7 linked regions of the Canis lupus familiaris genome follow. The protein of the gene in region 6 interacts with the protein of the main gene of each other region in a pairwise test. Links are inferred from orthologs where the notes say so. Each region holds a gene or a part of one and is shown on either strand. Other genes may lie near its edges.

What was found.
Region 1: the proteins of CREB3L1 (region 6) and PRKAB2 interact in binary tests that used the Homo sapiens proteins (3 or more experiments, as listed by UniProt). The link is inferred for Canis lupus familiaris from reciprocal best matches to the Homo sapiens genes CREB3L1 and PRKAB2.
Region 2: the proteins of CREB3L1 (region 6) and PLP1 interact in binary tests that used the Homo sapiens proteins (3 or more experiments, as listed by UniProt). The two-hybrid records come from large-scale screens. The link is inferred for Canis lupus familiaris from reciprocal best matches to the Homo sapiens genes CREB3L1 and PLP1.
Region 3: the proteins of CREB3L1 (region 6) and MFSD5 interact in binary tests that used the Homo sapiens proteins (3 or more experiments, as listed by UniProt). The two-hybrid records come from large-scale screens. The link is inferred for Canis lupus familiaris from reciprocal best matches to the Homo sapiens genes CREB3L1 and SLC61A1.
Region 4: the proteins of CREB3L1 (region 6) and TMEM218 interact in binary tests that used the Homo sapiens proteins (3 or more experiments, as listed by UniProt). The link is inferred for Canis lupus familiaris from reciprocal best matches to the Homo sapiens genes CREB3L1 and TMEM218.
Region 5: the proteins of CREB3L1 (region 6) and TSPO interact in binary tests that used the Homo sapiens proteins (3 or more experiments, as listed by UniProt). The two-hybrid records come from large-scale screens. The link is inferred for Canis lupus familiaris from reciprocal best matches to the Homo sapiens genes CREB3L1 and TSPO.
Region 7: the proteins of CREB3L1 (region 6) and FXYD3 interact in binary tests that used the Homo sapiens proteins (3 or more experiments, as listed by UniProt). The two-hybrid records come from large-scale screens. The link is inferred for Canis lupus familiaris from reciprocal best matches to the Homo sapiens genes CREB3L1 and FXYD3.

The regions. Positions count from the first base shown.
Region 1 is NC_049238.1:58,294,633-58,298,563, reverse strand, and holds the start of PRKAB2 (5'-AMP-activated protein kinase subunit beta-2), read left to right. Parts: upstream 1-1,131; 5' UTR 1,132-1,298; intron 1,299-1,303; exon of another isoform or gene 1,304-1,387; intron 1,388-1,579; 5' UTR 1,580-1,604; coding exon 1,605-1,760; intron 1,761-3,931. UniProt on the Homo sapiens protein: Non-catalytic subunit of AMP-activated protein kinase (AMPK), an energy sensor protein kinase that plays a key role in regulating cellular energy metabolism.
Region 2 is NC_049260.1:77,751,107-77,753,764, forward strand, and holds part of PLP1 (myelin proteolipid protein), read left to right. Parts: intron 1-487; coding exon 488-749; intron 750-1,816; coding exon 1,817-1,985; intron 1,986-2,479; coding exon 2,480-2,553; intron 2,554-2,658.
Region 3 is NC_049248.1:44,704,825-44,708,996, reverse strand, and holds MFSD5 (molybdate-anion transporter), read right to left. Parts: upstream 2,801-4,172; 5' UTR 2,761-2,800; coding exon of another isoform or gene 2,225-2,760; intron 2,088-2,224; 5' UTR 2,070-2,087; coding exon 717-2,069; 3' UTR 472-716; downstream 1-471. Other genes in the region: translation initiation factor IF-2-like, read right to left, coding at 2,225-2,760, 2,892-3,137. UniProt on the Homo sapiens protein: Mediates high-affinity intracellular uptake of the rare oligo-element molybdenum.
Region 4 is NC_049226.1:9,394,753-9,397,047, reverse strand, and holds the end of TMEM218 (transmembrane protein 218), read right to left. Parts: intron 1,236-2,295; coding exon 1,101-1,235; 3' UTR 501-1,100; downstream 1-500. UniProt on the Homo sapiens protein: May be involved in ciliary biogenesis or function.
Region 5 is NC_049231.1:23,355,149-23,359,104, reverse strand, and holds the start of TSPO (translocator protein), read left to right. Parts: upstream 1-1,156; 5' UTR 1,157-1,231; intron 1,232-3,956. UniProt on the Homo sapiens protein: Can bind protoporphyrin IX and may play a role in the transport of porphyrins and heme. Promotes the transport of cholesterol across mitochondrial membranes and may play a role in lipid metabolism, but its precise physiological role is controversial.
Region 6 is NC_049239.1:43,564,038-43,568,317, forward strand, and holds the end of CREB3L1 (cyclic AMP-responsive element-binding protein 3-like protein 1), read right to left. Parts: intron 4,268-4,280; coding exon 4,141-4,267; intron 1,602-4,140; coding exon 1,334-1,601; intron 1,211-1,333; coding exon 1,174-1,210; 3' UTR 501-1,173; downstream 1-500.
Region 7 is NC_049222.1:118,298,803-118,302,966, forward strand, and holds the start of FXYD3 (FXYD domain-containing ion transport regulator 3), read right to left. Parts: upstream 2,801-4,164; 5' UTR 2,664-2,800; intron 2,580-2,663; exon of another isoform or gene 2,435-2,579; intron 1,290-2,434; exon of another isoform or gene 1,283-1,289; intron 1-1,282. UniProt on the Homo sapiens protein: Associates with and regulates the activity of the sodium/potassium-transporting ATPase (NKA) which transports Na(+) out of the cell and K(+) into the cell.

The sequences.
Region 1 (3,931 bases), on a different chromosome or scaffold from region 6:
ACAAAATAAAGCTGTTCATTCAAAAAGGGTGGCCTTGTACGACGTGGCATTCCCCCATCGCTGTTTGTTTAAGTGGTATTATCTTGTTAGAAATGTAGTAAACGGTATTATACCCTTCACTGTGCAAATATTTATTAAAAGCTTACTCCGGACAAGATGCATGCAGAACAGGAAGAGGAATCAAAACTAGACTTGCTCTCTGCCAGCCTTCAAAGCAGTGCTTGACACTTTAATATGTATACACATTCCCCTGAGGATCTTGTTAAAATGCAGATTCTGATCCTGTAGGATAGAGCCTCAGATTCTACACTTCTAGCCAGCTCCCAGGTGATGGCAAAGCTGCTGGTCTGTGTCACACACATTGAGTGATAACGGTTTCCGCTAGGGAATCGGAAAAGCACATAATTATAACACAAAGAATGAATTAGTAAATACCATACACGTTCCATTAATCATCAGCAAAAACCTAGATCCGTTCCAACCCGAGGACAATCTCTGTCCTTTTCTGCTCTCACTGTTCCTTCTCTTCTTGTTGGTCTTCCTCAAATGGCATTTCTTTTGGGGTTGCTCGTTGCATTCGCGGTTTCTTAGCTCAGAATAGCTTTCTCCTCCTCTTCAGACCAGTTTCACGCATCTGTCAAGGTTTCTCGCCTAATTACTCCTTCCTCACTGGGGCCCCAGTCGAGGCTGCTCCCCACCGCAGCCAGCTGGAAGGTACCTCAAGCAGTCGCCACTACTTCCTTCTGATTCCAGGAGGAAATTCTGTTTCTAAATCCCTGGAGGAACCCACCTGTCCGGGTTGCCCAGAGAACGTTCTGTTTAACCTGAAGCCCGGTGAGGCGGGCGGCAAGGAGGCAGCGCCGCTTCTCCGGGTACGGAGCGCCTGAGGCCGGGAGGCGGCCCTGCGGTCCCTGGAGCCCGTCTGCTCCGGAAGGCCGGCCCGCGGCTGACCGCGCCAGGGTTTCTGGGTCGGGTGGGCGGAGCCCGCGCCCCGCCCCGCCCCGCCCAGCCCGAGGCCAACGCGGAGCGGGCGCCCCCGCCTGGCGCGAGAGGCTGCCCACCACCGAGGCGGCGGCGGCGGCGGCTAGAGAGGCCGCGAGCTCGGGAGCCGTCGCCGCGCGGCCGTAGGGAACGCGCGCGGGGCGGGCCTGGCGCCCCTGGCCTCGTAGCCATTTTAGGAGGAAACCCGGATCTCCAGCCCGGGGCGCGGCTTCAATTTCAATAACTTTATTGGTGGACGTAACCGCAGAACAGCCATCTCGCGAGTGGCTAGGGGAGGAGGAAGAGCATCGCGGGAGGTGACTGGGGTGGGGGCTCCCCCGGGCAGTGAACGCGGGGATGCGGGGAGTTCCCCGAAGCGGGTTTCCCCAGCGGCGGGCGTCGAGAGGCGGGTGGCGGGTGGCGGGTGGGGGGTGGGGGGCCGCGGGCGCTGCCGGAGGCCGAGGAAGGAGGGGACCCCGGGCACGGCTTCCCTGGGGCGGGGATTCCCTGGCCCGGGTCCCCAGGCGCAGGGGCGGAGCGGGGGGCGTCCCTGACGCGGCCGCCGGGTGTTAAAGCCCCGCGTGGTTCGCCCCGGCAGGTGGCCCCCGACTCGAGCTACAGCCATGGGAAACACCACCAGCGACCGGGTGGCTGGCGAGCGCCACGGCGCCAAGGCTTCTCGCGCCGAGGGCGCCGGCGGCCACGCGCCGGGCAAGGAGCACAAGATCATGGTGGGGAGTACGGACGACCCCAGCGTCTTCAGCCTGCCGGACCCCAAGGTGAGTCTCCCCGCGCGCGCCCCGGCGGCCCAGCCCCCCTCCCCTTCCGGGCTCCTCCTCATCCCACCGACCTACGTTACGGTTTTCTGAATTAAAGGGATGGGGCTGGGGAGGGGGGGGGGGGGGGGGGGACGGAGATGTTGGAGGGTAACTGACGCCTGCGGCGCTGCCTCGAAATACTATAGAGGCGGGGTTTCTGTCGTTCGCCTGACCTGCTGGCCATATTTTTACGATGGGGACTGTAGAGTCGTCCCCCCCCCCCCCCCACAACGCCACACACACACACACACCCATCCCCGGTTTTCCGAACAGGCAGGAGCCCTCTTGGAGAGTAGTGATGAGTTTATGGGTTGTAAACCCTATAGACCCTGGTAGAAAACTTCAAAGACGGTAGGTTGCCTGAGTGGCTGATCATCTGAGACAGTTTCTCAGGTTTACCCTGAGGTAGGCAAACGAATTTCTTTTTTTCTGATAACCTGTAGGTATCAGTATCATTTTTGCTCCTCTAAGAACCCAGCACTTCGGATCCTCTTCCCCTTTGGCAGGATTGTGAGCAGCAGCCACTTGCCTATTTGATACTTTCTCCTCGTCTTGGAGATCAGTACAGGACTTCCTTTGGCTGACTGCTCAGTTGTTCATCTCATCCTTTATATTGCGGTTGGCTGAGGTGCTTCCTTCTTCACACCCAGCTACTGGTCAACTGGGAGAGCAAACGATCCAGGATTTCTCCTCTTCCAGTAGGAATTCGTGATGTTACCATCGCTGAAAACGGACAACCCGCAGCTGCCGGGCAGGCAGACCTTGCTCTCAAATCCAAGGACTTCCAGAAAAGCGGCAACTTGTGCCCACCCGTAGATTAGATGGAGTTGACTGCAATGGGATTACCATCCGAATATTTCTAGTCCCATTTAGAGCTGTCAGCATGAAATAACAATAATCCCTCCAGGCAGTCCGAGTGGGAGGAAGTAGAAAAAATGGAGGGATTGAGGAGATTCAGGTGTGTTTGATGTTTTTTTTTTTTTTATCACTTCAAACCTTTCACCAAATTGGGGTTTTAGGGAGTAAAGAAATGATTTGCCCCATTGGTAGCACATGAAATTTGGATTCTGTTTATTTTCTTGAATCCCAGTTGAAAACATAACTACAGAAAAAGAAGTGAAGGTGGTTAAAAGCACCATCTTGGGGTTTCGTCTCCATTCCTTTCTTCCTTCTCCCACTTTAGAACTTCTTTCTCAGCATTTGGGCCATCTAGCCAGTCATTTTGAATTTCCTTAGAAGCTTTCTCAAGGTGATCCACCTCCTAATTTTACCCTTTTCCTATGTCAATGACTCAGGATTTAAGTACAGTGTATTTGTCAAACTCTGACTGCAATAATTGGTGTGCTGAATAAAAGCCAGGTTGCTCCATCTGAAATGGAGCCTATTTTGGTTCCTTCCTTCCCTAACCCCAGTCTTGCCATTTGTGAGTAAGAAAATTGGTTCAGATAATTCCTAAGGTCTCTTATACATGTAAAATTTTATAGTTCTCAATCTAGTCTCTTTACTTCTTCCTTCATTGTTTTACTTAAATATTTTCAAACTGTAGTTCTCATTGTTTTGCCTCTTTTCATAATGATTTTGCTGACAATTTAACTTGGAGTAAATGGTCTTTCTGCTAGTCAGCTGCACTCAGGCCTGCCACGGAAATGTCATGTCATATGTGGAAGGGCTTTCTTCCAAAGCCGGGCATGTTAATAGTTTGTAGCTTTCAAATTCGAAATTGAAAATACTAAATCATCAAAGTGACTCATAGAAACAGTGGCAGTGGGGTCAACATTGCTTCAAATGCCAGTCCTCTTCAGTGGACTAGGTCAGTGGTTCTCAACCCTGTTTGCACATTAGAATCACCTAAAATTTGTTTAAACACTGTATGGAAAATTAGAGACATTTTCCATGTTTCAAAGTAGTTAGAGTAGTATAGTAAACTCCTATATACCCATCACCCAGTTTAAACAATGATTAAATTTGAACAAATTTATGTCATGCCTATGCCAGTCCACTTCCCCCTACCAAATATTTTGAAACAAATTCCAGACATCCTATCAAATATTATTTTATCTGTAAATATTTTAGGATGTATCTGTAAAGTTGAGGTTTTTTCCTTTGTTTAACATAATCACAGTAATAATATT
Region 2 (2,658 bases), on a different chromosome or scaffold from region 6:
CACTGCCTGCCTCCCACTACACTTACTTAGTACCACATGTTCTAACTTCTGCCCATAGGGTAACATTGACTGAGTTGGAGCCTCTGCAGTGATAGGTATGGAGAATTCAAGGAAGGTACAATGACTAGACAGATTGGGGCTGCTGCTCTTGGTTTGACATACCATTTGAGTCTGCTCAGACTCCATACTGAGACTTTTGTGTTCCTAGCACATTAGGCCCCTATTCCTTCATTCCTCTTCCTCCTGGTGTAGCTTCTTTCTTCTTTCTTCTCTGAGGGAACATCTCTGAGGGGTCAGGCCAAGGAGAATAGGACCTCAGTTCTTTAGGTCACAGGGTAAGCAAGGAGCGGAGGAACCTAGCGATTCCTCTAAAGAATCCCTAGCCTCATTTGGGTGCTCACTCAAGTGTCCACCTTACTTATGCAGGAAGGGAACTGTCCTCAATTAGTATGATTTCCTGATATCTTTTGTTTATCTGTTAATGCAGGATCCATGCCTTCCAGTATGTCATCTATGGAACTGCCTCTTTCTTCTTCCTTTATGGGGCCCTCCTGCTGGCTGAGGGCTTCTACACCACCGGTGCAGTCAGGCAGATCTTTGGCGACTACAAGACCACCATCTGCGGCAAGGGCCTGAGCGCAACGGTAACAGGGGGCCAGAAGGGGAGGGGTTCCAGAGGCCAACATCAAGCTCATTCTTTGGAGCGGGTGTGTCATTGTTTGGGAAAATGGCTAGGACATCCCGACAAGGTGATCATCCTCAGGATTTTGTGGCAATAACAAGGGGTGGGGGACAATTGGGCGTGAGTCTGTGGCCTCATCCCCACCCAAGGCTGGGTCCTCTCTAGGGGCCTGGCTTTTGAGTGAGGAAGTGATGGCTACAGCCGAACGAGAAGGTCAGGAAGAACGTGGTGCCCAGCTGGCTTAGCCTCACCTTTCAAAAGTTCCCTAGAAAATTTCATCTCAAAAAATTAAAAGCATAAGTTTTGTGAACACTTCATAAAATCAGACTATTTCTAAGCCATCTGTTGGTATTCCTTTACTTTCCTCTTAGCAAGGACCACAACAAAATTAGATTTGACCACCTAAGAGCCTAAATGCTACTCATGGGATTGAAATGCAGGCACCTGATCTGAGAGGGAGGGTAGATCATGGAGATTAAGTAATTCCACTCCAAGGTGGAATTCACAATATTCTGGGATTCTGCACTGTTGGAGGTCCCAGAGGAAACTAGCATGGATCTACATATTTAATGCTTCATCTTTGTCTGAGGGTTATCCATGCTTCTGGTGAGGCATACATTGCTTTTCAGTCTCTAGAGTTAAGATCTTCTGGGGATTGAATATCTGTGGGTTATGGTGATATTTTTTGTGGCCAGCAGTTGGCTTAGAATGGTTTTGGGATCTGAAATTTAAACCTCCTATTGGCTTTGCTCAGTGACTGTCCCCTATGCCAAGGAACATTTTCTAAGCTCAGCTTAAGGCAAGAAATGGCACGACTTTCTTTCAAGATCTGTTTTGATTTCTTTACATCTTATCTGCCCAAAACAAAATCTCCTGAAGCCTCTCTAACCCAGGGATCCTCCTCACTCCAACCCCCACCCATTCCCCCCACCCTCCATCACACTTGGGGCCAGTTTTCTAGTAGATACTGCCAATGACATTTGGCAGTGGTGTCCTAATTACTAATTTCATTTGGTGGAGATCCCTGGAACCTGGTTTCATATCTGGCACACACCACTCCAGGATCTCCCAGTTTGTGTTTCAATGTCTACAGGCCAATGCTGATTTCTAACCACTCCATGTCAATTGTTTTAGTTTGTGGGCATCACCTATGCCTTGACCATTGTGTGGCTCCTGGTGTTTGCCTGCTCTGCTGTGCCTGTGTACATTTACTTCAATACCTGGACCACCTGCCAGTCAATTGCCTTCCCCAGCAAGACTTCTGCCAGTATAGGCAGTCTCTGTGCTGATGCCAGAATGTATGGTGAGTTAGGGTATTGGGGCCTTACCTTCCCTACCTCCTATGAAAGCACTATATATTTGTTTCTTAGGATGACAAGGGTGATAACTATAGAGAAAAATATTATGGATGCCTGGATCTTACTTTGTTAATCCCTCCCCACTGAAATTGGAGAGATTTCTTCCCTTGGTATGGAACTTCTCTTGGAAGTGGTAGGAGTTTTCTTGGCTGTCCACACTGCTCTAGCCTGGTTGAGAAGCAGTACATTTCAATAACAAACACAAGATTACACAACTGTTCAGTTCCTCCTCCTCCTCCTCCTCCTCCTCTTCCTCCTCTTCCTCCTCCTCCTCTTGCTTCTTCTTTGCAAATCTTTATAAAAGAGGATCCCGATTGTTAGTAGGATCCCACTTTTCAGCCAAGATGATTAAAGATGGAAGAAGGGCTCTCAAAGAAAATCTCCATGGAGCCCACAACTTCTTGAAGCTCACCCTGGTAAACTTGTATGTCTTACTCAGGTGTTCTCCCATGGAATGCTTTCCCAGGCAAAGTGTGTGGCTCCAACCTTCTGTCCATCTGCAAAACAGCTGAGGTGAGTGGGTCATTTGAGTTCTTCTACAATGGAATGGCTAGTACCATACAAATTCCTACCCATGGCCTTTAATTTTAAAAATCAGAGTTGGTTTTTTATGTGTTT
Region 3 (4,172 bases), on a different chromosome or scaffold from region 6:
AGGACCTGGTGGGAGCACGTGGTGCGGGACAAACAGTCCCTTCTGCCACAGAGACAGAAGGCAGGTAGCATATGTGTGCTGAGGTGCAAGCTTGTTTCTGCAGGAAGGTTTCAGATTTGCCCCAAGGGGTGGTCACAGAGGCAACTCAAGCCCCTGGAATCTCTGTTCACACCACCTGCTCCAGAGACTGTCTCACCCTGATTGTGGAGCAAGGGTCTTGCTGGGCAACTGGAGAGGGTACCTGTCCCCAGGGCAACAAGATATAGAAGACCCAGGAGCCTCAGGCAGTCCCCACCCATTTCAGCAAAGGGGCAATGCCACAGCTCTCGGTTTAAACTGGAGACAGTCTTGGAGACTAGAACTACAAATGCCTTTTGCTAATAAGCCCACCTTCAGCCTCAAACTCTCCGGCTGCCCACACACCAGAAACTACTGAGGTGGGTGCAGGTGAGGATGAGCAAATCCAATCAATGACCAGTTAAAAGTGTTTATTTTTAAATGGAAAGGGGAGAGGGAGTAACACAGAGGCAACTTGTGGCATCTTCTTTCCAGGCCATCACCCCCATGTACTCTCCAACCCAAAGCACTGGCAGGAGGGGCCCCAGGACAGGCTGAGGCCCAGACAGTTGCAAAGTCTGTCACGGAGAGATCTGTATACCACCCCGGAGAGGTGGGATTCGAGAGTCCTTCCCAGTCCCCCTTGTCCTGGAACCGGGCTAGAGCTCAGGGGCATAGGGCTCCCCGGTGGGTGAGGGTACCCGCAGCTCAGCATTGTGCCTGACCACGGTGAAGAGTCCCACCACTGCCAGCAGAGCCATCACCATGACGGCAGAGCAGATGCTGAACATGTTCCGAGTGCCCGTTTTGTGATCACTGTCATGGAGAACTAGGAGCCCCAGGCAGGCCAGCAAGTGCAGGGGCACCCGGAACCAGTTGAGTACACCAGCTTGCTCTGTCTCGGGGATCACCTTTCTCCGCAGGAAGCTCATGCTGGGAAAGTACAGCCCACAGGCCAATTCGATAAGGAGAAAGGCTATGAAGGACTCCACTGGACTCTCCTGGCCTGGGCTGGTGGAGAAAGTCAACATGAAAAGGGAGAAGACAACGATGAGGACAGCAAGGGAGAGTAGGTGCATGGGCTGAAGGTGGTACCTCTTGGAGGTAGCAATGCGGTACAGCGAAGAGCCAAGCAGGCTGGCTGCCATGAAGCTGGAGAAGACAATGCCCAGCGGAGCCCCATGTGGGTCCAGCACAGGCGTCCAGAGGAAGACAAAAATGAAGATGACGCTCTCAAACAGGGCTTGTATGGTGCCTAGCAGCAGCACGCGGCGGTCCGACAGGAGGCAGCGCAGGCCTCCAGCACAAGTCCTTGAGAAGGCACGCTGCCGATCATAGTTCTCTCCCCAGTTATGAAGGGCCAAGGCCCCAGCCAGAGCCAAGAGAGGGATGGCAGCCACAAAGGGCGCCACGGGCCCCAGCCCCATCCAGCAGGCCACCGCTTCAGCTGCCACACCTGCCGCTACAGCCAGCACATGGTTCCAGAAGGCAGCTCGGGCAAAGGTAGCTGGGATCCACTCAGCAGGGAAGTCATGACGCTCCACGTGTTCATGGACGTACCAGGCCTCGAAGGCGGAGAAGAGCAGCGCTGTGGACAGCCCTCCGAGGGCTCGGCCCATCAGCAGCACAAAGTAATCCCAAGAGAGTTTCGTTAGGCAGCAGAGAGAGTAAGTGAGGGAGAAGAGGACACAGGACTTCTTGCGACCCAGCCAATCCACAAGGGAGGAGGCCACCAGTCCAAAAAGGACTGTGGAGGCAAGGCCACAGACATAGAGGATGGCAATCTGCCCCTCCAGGAAGTGGTAATGCTGATAGAGTTTGTAGAGGTAGGGGGCCTGGAGCCAGTCAGCCGCCAGGGCCAGGAAGTAGACCTGATAGAAGTCCAGTTGAAACCGGAGGAAGGAGGGGTTGCTGCAGGCCCTTCCAGGGGGCTTAGCCCGGCATCTTGACAGCTCCAACCCCAGGCAGGAGGCCAGGAGGACCACAAAAGCAAGATAGGCAGTCACCAGCATGGCGGGCCCCCGGACGACCTAGGTAGGGGAGGAAGGGGGGGTGGGAGTTACATCCATTGCCCGGGCAGCACTGCCAAGGGGCGGGTGTCCACGCAGAAGCAGCTGCACCCACCCCCCACCCGACCCCACCCCCGCCACCTGCACTTCCCCGCCGCTCAGCTCCACTCCCCCGGAGCTCGGACCGGAGGGACCAGTTGGGTGGGTGGGAGGAGCGGCCCGCCAGGCCGGGTCTCCCGGGACACTGCGGGGCAGGGCGGGGCGAGGGGAGAAGGAGCATCCGCCCCACCCTCGCCCGGCGCAGCAAAGAGGGGGTCCCCTCGACACGGCGACGGCGGCCGCGCGGGTGGAGGGGCTGCTGCCCTCGCCCAGCTCGGCCTCCGCAGGCGCGTCACCCCCACGCTCTCCGGGCCGCTGCACTGGGCCCCCGAGCGTCCCGCCCGCGCCGGCCTCCAGGGCCGCTCCAGGGTCCCGCGCGCGCACCCCGGGCCCGGGCCCCCCCGCCGCGCCCCCGAGCCCCAGCCCGGCGCCCCCGCGCCGCCACGCCTGCTCGCGCCTCGCCCCAACCGCGGCTCACCTGCTGCCCCGGGCTGCGGGGACGCCGCGGACGCGTCCGGCTCCAGGCCGCCCCGCCGCCCAGCCCGCTCGACGTCCGGCTCCGGCTCGGGCTCGGGTTCCAGCAGCGCGCCCGCCCCTCACAGCCCGCTTCCGGGAGCCGGGGAGGCCTCTGGCCGCCGCCATGATGGCCCCGTCACGTGACGGGGTGAGGCGCCCAGGCCCCGCCCCCGGCCCGCCCAGGCCCCGCCCCCGCGCTCCAGGCCCCGCCCCCGGCTCCCGGAGGCCGCCGAGCAGGGCGGTGGCGGCGGCGGCAGCTGGCCCTCCCCGCGGCCTTCCCGTGACAGCCGCTCCTCCGACTCCCGGGTACCTGCGGCGCCGCCTCCACATAAAGACCCACTTCCTCTCTCTCCTCCGTCGCAGGGCAGTGCCGCAGTCCTGCCGACGCGCGGGCTGCCCTCCGCGGGCCGGTCCCGCGGTAGCGCCCTGGGCCCCGACGTGGTGCGGCGCAGACACCTGAGGGAGGCGGTGTGGGTCAAGGGCCTGGGGACTGGGGACGCAGCCGGCCGAGGCCCCAACCCCAGATCCGTCACTTAGTGTCCCAATTTCTTTGCCTGCTGTCAGGGGGGAGCAGTGCCCGAGGAAAAAGGGCGAAGGGTCAGCCCACCTCTCGCCCCTTACCAGCCGTGCTCCCCTGGAAAGGTTCTTTCCCTTGTGCTCCAGATTTAAGAGTGGCTCGACGGCTTCTCACCTCACTGAGCATGGAAGCCCAGGCCTTCGTGATGACCTAGAAACCCTCTGTGTCGGGTTCCTCTGCCACTTCTCTGACTTTATCTACAATTCTCCCTCCAGACTCTTTTTTTTTTTTTTAAAGATTTATTTATTTATTCATGAGAGACACAGACTGAGAGAGAGGCAGAGACACAGGCAGAGGGAGAAGCAGGCTCCATGCAGGGAGCCCAACATGGGACCCAATCCTGGATCCCGGGATCATGGCCTGAGCCAAAGGCAGGCGCCCAACCACTGAGCAACCCAGGCATCCCTCTCTCCAGACTCTTCCTACTCCATCTGTATTGGGGACCTCCAGGGCCTTTGCACACTGTGCCCTGCAAGGTTCTTCTCCCAAAGACCCACATGATTCCCTCCTTCAGCCCCTCGGGTTTCCTGTTCCAAGGCTGCCTTATCAGAGAGGCCTTCCCGGGCCATCCTGTTGAAAACAGCAACACGGCCACCTCCACTAGAGATCTACCTGCTGTCCTTCCAGCCTCATTCCCCTTTGCTGTCTTTTCTCCATAGCACTTAACACCATCTGGCACATTATGTATTTTATTTATTTATTATCTCTTCTCCCTAAAGGTTTTTATCTATTTGTTCACTTGTGTTTCCAGTACTTAAAACAGTTACTGGGGTGGGGAGTGGGGTCTGGGGAGGCACCTTGCTGGCTCAGTCAGAAAAGCATTTGCCTCTTGGTCTTGGGGGTGGGGTGGAAGTGGGAGTTCTAACCCCATGTTGGGTGTAGACATCACTAAAAAAAAGAAATGAAGTTGAAGA
Region 4 (2,295 bases), on a different chromosome or scaffold from region 6:
TTGTAAAATTTAAATACACTGAATTACAAGGGAACTTGTATACTACTGGCACATAGCTCAGCACATGCTCAAAGTTTTCTTTCCAACTTGTTTTCTGGTTCTTAATTTTAAGCCAGAAGATCCTTCTTCATTTAGTTCTAGGGAGTCAGGAGGTAACTTCCAAAAAGGAACCACCCTAGAGCCCCTCCATTTAATTATAATTTTGGTTGATGTGGGATCTGAGACTGGTATAAAATTGTATCTAATCCTTGGAATGTATGTATATTCCTTACCAGCTTTGGAGAAAAAGCTACAAAGATAAAAAGAAATGATAATAACCCCAAATGGATCCTATGACAATTTAAAAAGGCACTTGAAAGCCACCAAATGCTAAAAGAGAAAGAATCCGGAGATTTATAGCAGCAAGACAAGCAACCAACATTTCCATATCTTCTTCTAATACCCAAGCAACTCTCAAATAGAGAATATAGATTGAGAAAGCTGTGGCCAAGACTCTGAAGTGAAAGTCGGTCCTCTGATTGTTTATTGCTTTACTAGAGCAGAGGGAAGTGACACCCATTGTCTGTACATATTCTGTGGCACCATATGCAAACTGGTCAACAACCAGTACCTGGGTAACTCTTCCAACTCATCCCATTAAAATAATCTTTTGAACTTTGAGTGCCTTTCCTTCCCAAATGATCCCACCCTTTTAACAAAGAATCTTGTGTATTCTCAAAAGGACAAGAGTCTTCAGTCTACTGGACAGAAGAAACCAAAGTGTTCCTTTTCCCAAAATCCATTTACTGATGTCTTGATTGAAAATCTACTGGAAGCAGGTCACTGTTACCATTACCTTTTCAAAACATATTGAAAACCTGAGGAACAGGTGCTAAGACCACACTATCCCTCTGAAGATGGTGAGAATCATCTCGGCAGGGCCAATTTTGCAACCCCATTTCTGGAAGCCAGGACTCAAGGGATTTGTCTTAGTCATGAATGGATATTTCTCCAATCTTAAGGCATGAAGGCTGTCAAAATAAGGTTCCGAAGAGTACCTTTCTGCTCATCAGTGACCTCAGAAGTGAAGGACAGAATGGTTTGGTCTTCCTGAGTAGTGCTCAGTAGGACCGCAGCGGTTTGGCATAGATTGGCTCCAGGATATGATGAATGAGAACCAAAAACAGGCCTCCAAGGAAGACAGCAGTGAGGAAAGCCAGCAGGACATAGCGGCCAATGAAAAAGGAATCCACAATCTGTAGAAGGAAACATCAAAAATGAAATTACTATCACTTCAGCACCCTGCTTGTGCTCATCTGAAATCTTTGATGAGTGGGCCCAAAGTCCATTTCTATTTGTGACTTCCAGTAACATCCTGCTCTGAATCTCCTCTGTAAATGACTAAGAAAGAACCTTAACACCCTGAGCTGGAAATATGAGATAAAGATAAGATTAATGAAGGACAGGGAAAAAAAATGGCTCAATTTAGAAGGAGGCTCATAAACACTGCAAAGACCTTGGATGAGCTCTTTTATGTTCTGAAATCAGTTATCTGAAAGAGTTCATGAGAAACTTGCTTGCTTGGTCTTAGAAAAGCTCATTTTTGATGTTAACTTTTCTATTATGAATATTTTACTTTTTAAAAAGATTTTATTTATTTATTCATGAGAGACACATAGAGAGAGGCAGAAACATCACCAGAGGGAGAAGTAGGCTCACTGCGGGGAGCCCGATGCAGGACTCAATCCTGGGACCTCAGGATCATGCCCTGAGCTAAAGGCAGATGCTCAACCACTGAGCCACCCAGACGTCCCTATTATGGAGAATTTTAAACATATAAAAATATAACAGCGTAATAACCTCCATATATGCAAGATCAAGCCCCCAAATCATGAACCCATTCATTGCTGATTCAGGAGAGTTCATTTTCAAAATGGAAAAGTGATTCTTTAAAACTTTCATCAGAAGGGTCCTGAACCCTGACATTCATAATCCAGTGCTCCAAGGCTTAGGTTAAATGACCATTTGACTGAGGCACTGAAATGTTGAAAGGATAGATAACGTGCCCCAAATCATACAGTTGGGTGCCTGCACTCATACTTGAGGCTCCAATGCTGTTGGTCTTTGCGGACCAAACCTATACTTAGAGTTGGCTCTGCCCACCTGCCTACTGTCTGCTGCCAGAGCTCTACTCTTCCCAGATCCAATGAGTGGTGCTTAAATCAGGGCAGGAAAAAGCAATTTAATCTATGAACCTAATGGAACTGGAACATGAACCAAGTGACAGGATGACTTCACAGCTTCAAAAGGGAAGGG
Region 5 (3,956 bases), on a different chromosome or scaffold from region 6:
GTGTGACTGTTCTCAGCCTGACCCTTTGGCCCTGGCCTGCTGCAGATATTTGGGGGCAGAAATCTCTTGAGCCTTGAGCTCCATGTGTAGTAGGGGTGAGGCTAGAGGGAGGGAAGCTGCATAGTCTCCTCCAGGGCTGGCTCTTCCGGGGGAGGTGAATGTGTCACTTGGCCAAGCCACAGGTACTTCGTTGCAGGAAGAGGGCGAGGGCTGGCAGCTCCCTGGGAGGTGTGGCCCCTTTCTTCCTGAAGGGCAGTCACAGTGCCTGGGGCCACAATACTTGAGGGACCCAGGAACACGTCTTAATTTCTTTTAAAATTAGAAGAAAAAGAAGCAATCCAGCCCAGATTATATTTGTTTTTATATCGAAGCAGTGGAAGGAGGGAGGGGCTCACAAAAGCCCACCTGGCAGGAGGGTAGCTCGGATGGGAGGCTCCAAGCTTCGATCGTTGGGCAGAAGAAGCTGTAGGTCACCGTTGTCCTCCAAGTACCAAGTTTGGCAACTTGGACTCCTGTAGGCTGAGGGGCCCTGCCTGGCCCAGTCAGCCCGAGGTGGCCAGGACAGACCCTGGGCGGCAGTTAGAAGGCGGCACCCGCAGACTCAGAGGAGGTGAGGGATCCAAGGCCCGGGGCTGGACGTGCTGTGCCCATCAGGGTGCGTCTGGGACTGGAGGTCACCTCCGGGCTGTGCTGGCTGCAGTCCCGGCTCAGTGAGAGCCCAGCGTCTGCACGGCGCCCTGCCTGCATTGCCCTGCGGCGTCCTCACCCGGCCCACGATCTTGTGCCCATTTTACAGATGAGGAGATGGAGGCAGAACCAGTCACAAAGTGGCTGAGCCAGGACTACGAGTCCAGCCGGCCTTGTGCCCCAGGGCGCCAGGTAAAGGGGGGGGGGGCGGGAGGGCGGGGGGCGCGGCGGGGGGGCTCCTCCGGCGATGGGGGGGCCACAGCTACTGGGTGCGAGGCCTTTCGGGGCTTTGCTGTCAGGCGACGTAATTCCCCTCTCTGAGGTCGGTTCCCGCTGCCCCAATTTTCCGACGGGAAAGGTGAGGCTCAAGAAGAGAAGCGACCTGCCAGCGACACAGCGGGGACGCGGCCGGGGCGGGGCGGGCGGGGCCGGGGCGGGGCCTCGCGGCAGGGGCGGGGCGGGGCGGGGCGGGGCGGGCGGGGCAGGGACCTGGGCCACCACCCCGCGCCGCGCAGTGCCTTCCCGGAGCGCGTCCTGGTCGCTGGTGAGTGGGGCCCGGGCGCCGAGGGGCAGCGGGCGGGCGGCCCCGCGCAGGGCCGATCCCCGACAGCGCCCGCCCGCCGCCGCGCCGCCGGAGGGTAAACTGAGGCAGGAGGGGATAGGCCGGGCCCCAGGGCGCGACTGCGGGGCGGCACTAGGGGCTCAGCCGCCGGGACGGCGGGCGGCCGGGGTTGTGACCTCCGCAGTCGGGGCTCCTGCGCGGCGGGATTCCGCCCGGCTAGCGGGGATCGAGGGGAGCGGGGGGTTGGGGGCACTTGGGCAGCCCGGCCCCGCCCCGCCCCGCCCTCCGCGCCCCGCCCCCGCGCCCCGCCCCCGGCTCGGGTCTGGCGGGAAGCGGAGCCCCCGGGAGGGCCCCGACAGGCTCCCGGCGCGGTCCGGTTCCGCAGAGGGGCCAGCCGGGGCGGGAGTGGCCGGGCGGGGTGCCGCGGGGATCGAAGCGCCTGGCGGTCCACTTGAAACGCTCCATCCTAGACGCGGAAACCCGGGCCCCTGGGGGTGTTTGCACGCAGCCACGTCGGGCCCCAGCGGGCCTGAGAGCCGGGCCCCAAGATTCCCGGTCGGTGCCCGGACAGGGGCCTGGGGTGGGCAGAAGGGCCCCAGGGACCCGCCTGTCCGCAGTGCCCCCTGCAGGGGAGCTCGGAGCCGTCGGCAGGGGTGAGCGCGCCGCGGGTTTGGGGTCCACCCGGCGGCTGGCCTGCCCGGCGCAGCGCCCCCTCCGGTCCCGGTCCCGGTCCCGGTCCCGGCCCGCGCTCTGCAGCGGAGGGCAGGGGCGCCGGGCTGGGGCCTCCCCTAGGGACAGGACAGTTGACCGAGGCGGTTCCCAAAGGGTCACGGGGCCTGGGGAGGATGGCAGAGGGGCTGCGTCCGGAAGGGCGCCAGGGTGCCGGCCTCCCGCGGGCCGTTGACCCAAAGCCTCAGCTGGCAGATTGGGCCTGGAGCTGCGGCGCCCCGCAGGGGAGGTGGGTGGGGAGCCCTGTGCGGCGGGGGACACGGCAGGGGACACGTCTGCTTCGTGGAGCCCGAGGTTTGCCCGCTGCCTTGAAAGGCACGAAGGAGCTCGGGGCGGGGGATAGCGCCTCCCGCGGGGGTCCCCGGCTCCGGCTGCTCAGCGGACCCAAAAGGAGGCGCAGAGGGAGTCCTTTGAACTAAAGGAAACTGAGGCTCACCCAGGAGCCCCTGGGCAGGCACATCGTGGCAGCGCTGGAGCTGGGGTTCAAACCAGTACCGTTCAAGGCCTTGCTTTGTACACTGTGTCCTTCTGTGCGTGTGTGTGCACACGTGCGTGCATTTGGGGCCCACATTTGTGCCTGGCAGTGACCGAATCGTAGCTGGATCTGCCGGAAACCACTGATGGCAGCGGGTTGCTGGGGGGGTTGGTGCTTGGAGGGAGGGAGCCTCCTTTTTCCTAACTACACTTTCGCCATTTTCATTAGTTTATTTTGGAATCTGTGTTCCTTTGATTTGTACTTTCTTCTGATTGTACAAGCCACGCCTGAATATGCCCTTTGTGTTTACAAAAGTAGTCATTCTCCATGGAGCACATTTCCCCTGTCACTCCCAGCCCTCCTGGTCACCAGCTGGATGTGGATCCTCCCCAACTTGTCTGTTGTGCTTTCATAATGAAAAAGATTCACGAAGGTTGTAATGCGGAAGATTAGCTGTAAGTCACGTTAGAAAAGGAAGGAACCTTAAAACAAGTCCCAGGACAGCGGTGGCGCGTGAGCGACAAGGTGGAGGAGGGCGGGGCGCCACCGGGAGGAGGAGGAGGGCTCTCAAAAGCAACACTATTCTGTTTCTGGGGAGCAGTTCCTGCCACCTTCTGTAGGAAGGCCTCGGGGAACAAGAGGACGCCCCAGAGACTCTCTAGCTCAGCCCCCACTTCACAGATGGGGACAGAGAGGCCTGGGAGGTGAGATCTCAGGGCCAGAAATGGGGAGCAGGAGCGAAGCATCTTAAGGACAAGAGTTCCCTGAGTCCCACTCTTGGGGCGACAGGGAGGATTCACATCCTGTAACTGCTGCTCCTGCCTGGGAGGGGGTCTCATGCTCTGGGGGGGCTGCAACACTAGCGCTGGGGCTGGAGGGAGTGAGCCTGTTGGCTCCGAGATAGTCTTCTACACTGGGCAGAGAGTGGGACCCCTGAGGTAGGATGGGAGCCCCCTGCGGCCCCCCAGGCCTTGCGCAGGCCTTACCTGCCATGTTGGGATGAGAAGGAGGTGACACAAGGTAAGTGACCATGTGGCCCAAGGCTGAGGCCAGCAGACTCCCAGCTCAGGGGAGGGGGTGCTCTGGGCCTCAGAGTCACACAGACCTAGAAAATTCTGGGACTCCCTGTGCCTCAGTTTCCTTATCTGGATGGTGGGAATAGTAATGTCCACTATGGAGGCCAGGAGGGTGTGGCTCAGGGCCCCCAGGAGAGAGGCAGCTGGTTGCCCCCCCACCCGTAGCTGCTGTGAAGAGTAAGTGAAGTAATGAGCATCAGGATGAGCCACCAAGCACCACGTCCATCACTTGTTCCCCAGAGATCTAGAACCTTCTCCTGACCCCAGGTCCTGAGCCCTCTGCTTTGACCCTTCTCGGTGGTTTTGGAAGTGCTCCTCTGTGAGTGGCCCCAGGCCTGTGGGTGGAGCGTTCTGTTTAGCCTTTTGCCCCACTTAGCATCCAGTGTCTGACTGGCAATGTCTTCTCAGACTTGGGTCTATGCCCCGG
Region 6 (4,280 bases):
GGAGCCTGGGGGGCAGGAAGCTTGGATGCCTACCACACACAGCTAGTAAGTGGCAGTCCCAGCAGTCGAGCACAGCTCTTCCTGCCGTGAAGTCTGTACTTTTGACCCAGCTGAGGCCGAGGATACAAGAGCTGAAATGCGGTGGGTCTCAGGAGGACCAAGCTGGGTACTGCCCGGAAGGTGTCTGGCCCAGGGTCTGGTCCATAGCAGGTGCTTGATGCTTGCAGGTGGCATCCCCAAAGGCCAAGACTGGCTGCCAGGCCTCTCTACCTCCATAGGCAGCGCAGGAGGAGGGGCCGCGGGGTGGGGACATTACAGCAGAATCCTTTGTCTAGTTTGAATCCTGCGCCCAGAGGGAAGAGGGAGCCTGGGAGAAATGCCTTTCACCCCTGCCCTCTCCAATGAACCCCTGGCAGGACATAAAATCAACTTCCCCTTTTCACTGCCTATCCCCAGGTCCTGGTCACCCCCCTCCATGAAGAAAGGCACAAAGTCAGGAATTGATGCTGCATCTTTTTTTTTTTTTTTTACTTTTGCCTTCTTAAAGCATGTGCTGAGCTGATGGATGAAGCAGTCTGGCAATTAAAAAGGCCTGGCGGCTTGGGCGGCGGCAGGGGGAGGCCAGATGAGGGCCCGGGAACAGCAAAGCCCGCACTAACTTTATAAAATATAAAACAAGGGAGGGGTGAAGGGAGGATGGAGACTTGTAAAATACAATATCTTAGGGGATTGGCAATAATAAAAAATAAGGTTCATTATTTACAAACAATTTCTGTTCTTGGTCTCTGTACAGTGGGGCGGGGGTGGGGGGGTGTGTCGGTATGTTGGTGGGTGTGTTTGCGGGGAGGGGGCGGGCAGGCAGTGGTCGTGTTGGTCATGATGAGAAAGGAGGGGGTTAGCCCAGTGAGTGGTTTATCTGAGAAGGACGGATGACTGTGGGAGGGAGGGGTGAGAACAGAGTGGTCGGCCCAAGGGAACAGTCCAAATGTGGTGGGGAAAGGAGGGGCCCTGGTAAAGATTGGGGCAAAGATAGGGCTGGGGAGAAGTGGAACCCTTTCTCCTGGGGTGGGAGCCCAGGGGACAGGGGTACAAGCTGGATCCGGGTTAGAGAGCAAGACAATCCCTCTTCTGGGTGCCAGAGGGTAGGTCCTGTGTCCTGGGTCTTGGCGCGGCCTAGGAGAGTTTGATGGTGGTATTGGGGCCCAGATCCCTGGAAAGAGAACAGAAGTCTGGGGTGAGTCTGTCCAGTGAGGAGCTTCTCACCTCTCTGCATGCTGGAGCAGAATGTGGGTGGAGCCTGGGACCCTGGGATGGCAAAGGGCCAACCACTTACCTCTCACGGAACCACTCCTTGGGGTGAGAGAAGTCGGGGCTGGTGCCGTTTCCACCGATGTCTTTTGGCCAGGCCTCACTCAGGTACTTGGTGGTCTCGTGGGTGCTGTCCAGGTGGTCATGCTGCAGGTGGTCCTGGGGCCGCTGCTCCGCCGGCCCCCCGGGGTTGATTTCCCAGCCATCTGGGGGCTCCACAGGCAGCAGGGCACCGCGGCCATCCTCCCACGAGCCTGCCCCCTCGTCATAGAACAGGAGGCTCCGGGAGGGCACTGGACAGAGAACTCATGGTGAGCTTCAGTGCAGAGGCTCCCTGCTCCCAGCCACATTCCCAGCCCAACAGTGAGGGATGAGGGCCCTGCAACTTTACAGGCCTGAGTTTGTTGAGCCCCAGTTCTAACATTTCCAATTGGTATGACCTCAGGTGAGTCAGGCCTTTGCTTTAACCTTTCTGAGCCTTAGTTTGCTCATCTGTAAAATAGGGATACTAGGGCCAACCTCATAGAAATGTGGTTTAATGAGACAATCTGGGGAAAGTGATTGAAAATTGTTTAGGGAAGAACTTGGAGAAAGTAGTTCTTCCTAAGCACTGGGTACCAGGGTGGGCATCTGAGAGTTGGGTTCTGATCCTGCTTCTACTAACTCACTTTCTGTGAGAACTTGAATCAATCTCTTCCCTTTTATTTTTAAATTTTTTTGGTGAAGATTTTATTTCTTTGAAAGAGAGAGCACAAGGGGGGGGGGTGGAGAAGCAGATTTCCCGGTGAGCAAGGAGTCTTGGGGGAGTAAAGGGGGGGTGGGAGGGAACAGCTAGGCAGAGGCTTAACCCCCCTGAGCCACCCAGGCACCCCCTTTCCCATTCTTTTTTTTTTTTTTAAGATTTTATTTATTTATTCATGAGAGACACAGAAAGATAGGGAGGCAAAGACATAGGCAGAGGGAGAAGCAGGCTCCATGTGGGGAGCCCAATGTGGGACTCTATCTCAGAACTCCAGAATCACGCCCTGAGCCGAAGGCAGACGCTTAACCACTGAGCCACCCAGGAGTTTGCCCACCCCCTTTCCCATTCTAGGCCCTAGTGTGTCCTTCTGGAAAATGAAGGAAAAGAAAACACATCTGTTGGATATCTCCTTTGTGCGTGGCATTGTGCAAAGCCCTTTGACCTGCATATCAAATCACTCATATCTCACTGAAAGTCCTGGGAAGGAGATATTTTTAGCTCTGTTTTATAGAACAGGTAACTGAGTTTCCAGCTTATCAGATACTTGGGCTTACGCTGGAAGCCAGAGGCAAACCCAGGTCCGTCTGGCTCCAGGATCTACCACCACCTTCCTGCCCTCAGGCCATGACCTAAGAGTCTGTGTAAAGGGCACTCCCTGCAACTGAGCAATGTACCTGCTCTGAAAGCCAGCCAGCTCTAGAAGCCAAGTCCTACCACAGGTGCACACTGGGAGTCTGCAACCCACTGCACTCACTCCAAGGAGCTCATTCATCCCCTCACTTCCTCAGACTCTGGCTTCATCCATCAACATGGCCTCCACCTTCCACATCCCTCTCTTCCTCCAAATTCACCGGAAGAGGGCCTCTCTGGCTTTGGAGAATGAATTCATGACTCTCAAGGCCTCACACCCCCTGCACCCCACCTCCCTCAGCAACTGTCCTGAAGAAGAGTCTCTGGCCACACATGTCCTGGGAGTGGCTTTCAGTCAACCACTCAACGCCTCCACTTCCTTTTCCTCTAACCCTCCCCACCCCTTCCACCTCTGAAGGCCCTGCTGGTCTAGCTCATTCTCCCTGCCTATCCCTCCTGAGTCCTATTCCTGCTGTCTCCTCCCTCTTTGACCTCCCATCCGTTTCCTTTTCCTCCTCCTGCCCTGCCAGACAATTCCTTCCCAGGGAGGAAGTTCCTCTGTAGGTCTACCTGAAGTCCCTTCTGCCTCTGGAAATCCATACTATTCTTTGCCGCACCCTCTACCAGTTCTCTCCTTGCCGCCCACATATTGTCTCTCTCTTCTCTCCTCTTGTGAGGTCTTCAAAAAGGGAGGGAATGTGCTCCTTTAGTAAGCGCCTGCTGTGTACTGAACCCTGTGCTAAGAGTGTATGTGCATCATGCCATTTAGTTGTGATGACAACCACGCTCAGTGAGTGCAGAACTGTAACTCCTGTTTTTTGGATGAAGACATTTAAAGCATAGGGAGCTCAAGACATGTGCCCAAGGTCCCGCAGTCAGCAAGTGGTGATGGCAGGCATGACCAACTCTGAGGCCCAATGCTCTTTAAGCACCGTACCTCACAGTCACCCAGGGGATGGTAAAGGTCTGAGCCTGCAACCACAACTGCCCCTCCTCTGCACACGCCTGACACTACCAGTGGATCCTGGCTCTCCTTACACGGTGCTTCGGACAGTCACCACCAGCTTATTGGGTAGGGCGCTGGAACCTCAACTCATTTGTTGTCCCAGGTGTGAAATACTAATCGTTTCTAGCAGATGCCCATAACCACAGCTACTGTAATTCCTGGGGGTGGGGCGGTGGGAAAGGGCAGGGTGGGAACATTCCCACTATCCCCTAAACCACCCCCACCCCCGCAGGCCACTCTTGGGTGGGCTGGGATCGGGAAGCCTGCATTGTGGTCCCAATTCCACAATGAACATTGAATAAATCACAGACCCTTTAGGGCCTGTTTCTCCATTTGCAAAATGAAGAGGTCGAATGAGATGTTGCCAACCTGGAAGCCGGCCTCCTCTCTTTTATCTGGCTTTTGCCCCGAAGTTGAGACTGAGGGAAGGTAGCCTGGCTCAGGAGGCACTCACTCTGACTGGCTGTGTAGACGCTGTCAGTGGCCATGGGGTCTTCCTTCACAGTCTGGGAGCTGGAGGAGAACTCAGGGAGGCAGGGCACAAGTGAGCCCAGCACCAGAACGAAGCACAAGGCTGCCACCTGGTAGTAGAGG
Region 7 (4,164 bases), on a different chromosome or scaffold from region 6:
GTCAGGCCGGAGCTGGCTCCTTAGGCTGCTCAGAGCAGGATGTGCAGAGGAGAGCACTGGAGCCTGGGGTGGAGGTGGTGGAGGTGCGGGGGGGGGGGGGGGGGGGGGGGGGGGGGCCAGAGCAGGGAGGAGCCACCTGGCTGCAGCCCCAGTCCCATCTGTCTCCACAACCCTGGAAGCCCTGGTTTCTGTACTGCCCCAGCCCCTACCCCTGCCCCTACCCCTGCCCCAGCTCCACCCCCTGCCCCTGCCCCAGCCCCAGCCCTTACCTGTGCCCCGCCCCAGCTCCTGTCCCTGCCCCACTTCTGCCCCTGCCCCTGCCCCAGCTCCTGCCCCTGCCCAGCCCTTACCCCTGCCCCTGCCCCTGCCCCAGCTCCTGCCAAGCTCTTCCTGGCAGCCATTATTTCCTCTTTCCCCAGATAGGGCTGTGCAGCAAAAAGAATCCCTCCGTCCCTTTCCTGGTCTGGTATCAGCCCACCCTGCCCCCATCCTGAGTGCCTGAGATAAGCCCCATCTCTCTGTGCACCCTCCCATGTCCTCTCCCTGCCCCCGCCCCAGCCCTTGCCCCTGCCCCTGTCCTGCCCCTGCCCCTGCCCTAGCCCCTGCGCCAGCCCCTGCGCCAGCCCCTGCCCCTGCCTCTGCCCCAGCCCCTGCCCCTGCCCCAGCCCCAGCCCCAGCCCCGGCCCCGGCTCCTGCCCCTGCTCTTGCCCCAGCCCCTGCCCCTGCCCCTGCCCCTGCCCCTGCCCTGCTGCCAAAAGCATACACTGTCAAAATGCTGACAGCCAGAACTCGCCTGTCCTCCGACCCATCCTGTGCTGGGCACTGCCCAGCGACCTTGCTGTGTCTTCACCCATTGCACCCCCTGGCACCCCCGGAGGTGATCTGTCCCAGCCCTCATTTCACTGAGCCCCTGGACGTTCCCTGCTCCATCCCCAGGATCCTCTCTACAGCTGAAGAGAACCACCCATCTCTCTCGTACCCCCCACGTAACCCCCACCTCGAGTTTCTTTCTCCTTCCTGCCTGTTCTCACACACTCCTCCCTGTCCCTGTGCCCACTCAGGTCCTGGCAATCCTCTCAGCGGTTAACCCCCTACAGTGGACTCAAATGCAACCATTTCTTGCAGGAAGGGGCCCGTAGCTTTGGGGAGCATTACTAAGGCATTTAGGACCCCAGAGATTGGGGAGAAGAGCTGGAGCGGGTGTGTGGGCAGGACAGCCTGGTGGCTCAGGGCGCAGGTCTGTAGGAGGACCACCTATCCTCTAAAGCTGCCTCGTGGGCACCTGGGTGGCTCAGTGGTTGAGCATCTGCCTTCAGCTCAGGTTGTGATCTCAGGGTCCTGGGATCGAGTCCCACCTCGGGCTCCCTGCATGGAACCTGCTTCTCCCTCTGCCTATGTCCCTGCCTCTCTCTGTGTTTCTCATGAATAAATAAATAAAATCTTTAAAAAATAAATAATACATAAAGCTACCTCGTGAGGCTTTGTCACCCGAGAGGATGCCTGCGTAGTGAGAGCTAGGGCCTACTTGAGCGGTTACCCCATGCCAGGCACTGGTCTCAGCTCTTCACTCATAGAATCTTCGCCGCTCAATGATGTTGGCACCGTGGTCACCCCACGTTGCTGCCACGGCCTTGTAACCCCTGCTCACTCAGCTTAGTGCTGTCTGCTTCACCCAGGGCCCAGAGTCCCTAGCTCTGAAACCTCTTCCCATGGAATGCACCAAGTCCCCCCGGCTGTGAGGGCTCTGTTACTCCCCATCCCCAGGGCCTGTCCAGGCGTCCCCGGCACAGGGGAGACCTAAGGGTGATCTCAGCTGCACCCCAGCCCCAGGACAAACTTTCCAGCCTGGCTCTCCTGCAGTGCAGGCTGCCCTCACCTTCCCTTCCCGGCCCAGGCTGCTGTTGGAAGGGGCCCTGAGCTGCTCCCGAAGGGACTGTAGTTGGTGTGAGGACTTGGAGATGATGACAGCCTGCAGATGGGGGCTCTGCACACCCCTCTAGGCTCCCTCCCTGCCCTGCAGGTCCCAACACCAGTGCGATGGCCGGTTCCACCGTCCGCGCTCTGCTGGCCTCTCCATGACGGTGGCCATCAAGCCCACGCAGAATGACTCCCCCATGTCCCTGGAATTTCCTACCCAACTCCCCACTTTATAGCTTCCCCAGGAAGCCACCATCCCCTTTCCTGAGAAGCTCCAGGACCCACACTCCTCAATCCCTAGATACCCCAAGTCCACCCCGCCACCCACGCATCCACTCTGATACCCTCAATCTGGCCCTGATCCACCTGGATACCCCCGTCCACCCAGGCACCCCTCTCCAACGCTGTCCACCCAGATACGCCCAACCCAGATGCTTCTGGTCCACTCTGACACCCGCGATCCACCCAGGCACCCCGCTTCCACATGTGGACCTTACCCTCGTCCCAGCTCACTCACCCAGTCCCCTCAAGGCAGAATGATCAGGGTCAGGGGGACCCCCGATCAGGCCAATGGAAGATGCTTTGTCTAATCTCCTGCCTCCTGCTCCTTGCCCCCCCCTCCCCGGAAAAATCCTTGCAAGGAGGAAGTTCTAGTTAGTGTCTTTAACAGAGATCAGTGGGAAAGCTGGAGTGGTTTGGGGGCAGAGCCAAGAGGGTGTTGGAGGGAGGGGACCCCAGCCGCTCACCTGTGTGGCTCCCCAGAAGGCTTGGAAAGTTCTGGGAGAGAAGGGAGGGAATGCAGCTGCTAAGCCTGAGTCCTGCCTTTATCCGCAGCTGCCACGCCCTAGGCAAACCTGGGCAGGTAGAGAACAAGTCGGACTCCCTAAAGCTCTGGGGCTCTCTCACCCCATTCCTGCTCTTAAAGAGACAGCTCCCACATCCTTCTTCCCAGCCAGGGTGCTCCCTGAGGTCCCCAAGGTCACAGCAGCCTCAGGTAGGCGGAGGGGGCATACGATGGGCTGGATTCTGCTCCTCACATCAGGACAGGGGGCTTTCTTCAATGTCTCGCCCCCGTGGAAGGGACCTGGAAGGAAGAAGGTTGAGGTCTCCAACAGCAAAGCTTCTGTCTGGAAGAATGGTGGGGGGAAGGCGAGGCACTGGGGTGATAATCTCATGTCTATCACTTAGATTGTGTGCTACACTTGGTCCAGGAGGGCTTGGTGGCAGTTTCAGGATATCTGAAGTCCCTTTCCAGATCGCCTGTTGCTTCCGACCCCTTGAGGGTCAGCAGATGATGCTGATAGGACCAAGGTCATGAGGTGGAAGGTGGTGACAGGAGTGGAAGGTGGGCGCCTTCGGGCTTTAGACTATGACCTCGCTCCCAAGTGCCCAACGTGCCCTGGAGAGATTGGGAACTGGTTTCTGAGCATCGGCAGACCTTCCTAGCTCGGGCTCTTCCCGAGGGTGCTGGGAGCCAGATGCCTGGGTCCAGGCCGAGGGCGTTGGGGTGGAGGCTGCCTCCCACTCCGGATAAGGCCATTGCTCAGTGGTGCAAGGCCCCCTCCCTCCCTCACCCCTCCTGCCCCTCCTCCTCATGGCATTCTTTCTGGCTGGGGTCTGTGTAGGCCCCCACATGGTCCTCGTTGGGGTGCCCCCTCCCCCTAATTCTGCCTTTTTAGACAGAGGGACTTTTGTCTGGGGGCTGGATGGAGAACAAGGCGCCTTTGAGTGGCTGGCGGAGGATTGGGGTCATGGGGAGGGGCAGGGCCAGGAAAGGGGTGGCTCTGCACTGGCCACCAGCTGGACTCCAGGCGACCCCCAACACCATCTCGGGGCAGGGGAGGAGGGCTGCAGGAGCCAGGCCAGGGAGAGTGCGGAGTACAGGATGGGGAAAGGGAGTTTCCGAGGTCAAGACTCTGCTGGGGGTTGTCTGCTGGGGGTTGTCCGCAGGGCAAGGGAGAAAGGACCCCCCCACTTCCTAGCAGGAAGGGCTGGGGAAGCAAGGAAGGCAAGCCCAGATACATGCTTTCTTTATGTGGCTCCCTCAGGCAGTTTTTCAATCCCAGGCCTTAGACTAGGACAAGGCCTCCCCCGCCCTGCTCCCATCAAGAAGTCCCTACAAGGAGTGGAGGGGGCACTCGGGGTGAGAGGCTCCATCAAAGTGGGAGGTTCAGGGGGAGACAGAAACAGTCAAGGGAGGCCTGGAGGGGATGATCCCAGTGCAGCTAAGGGGGTCTTTTGTCTCGG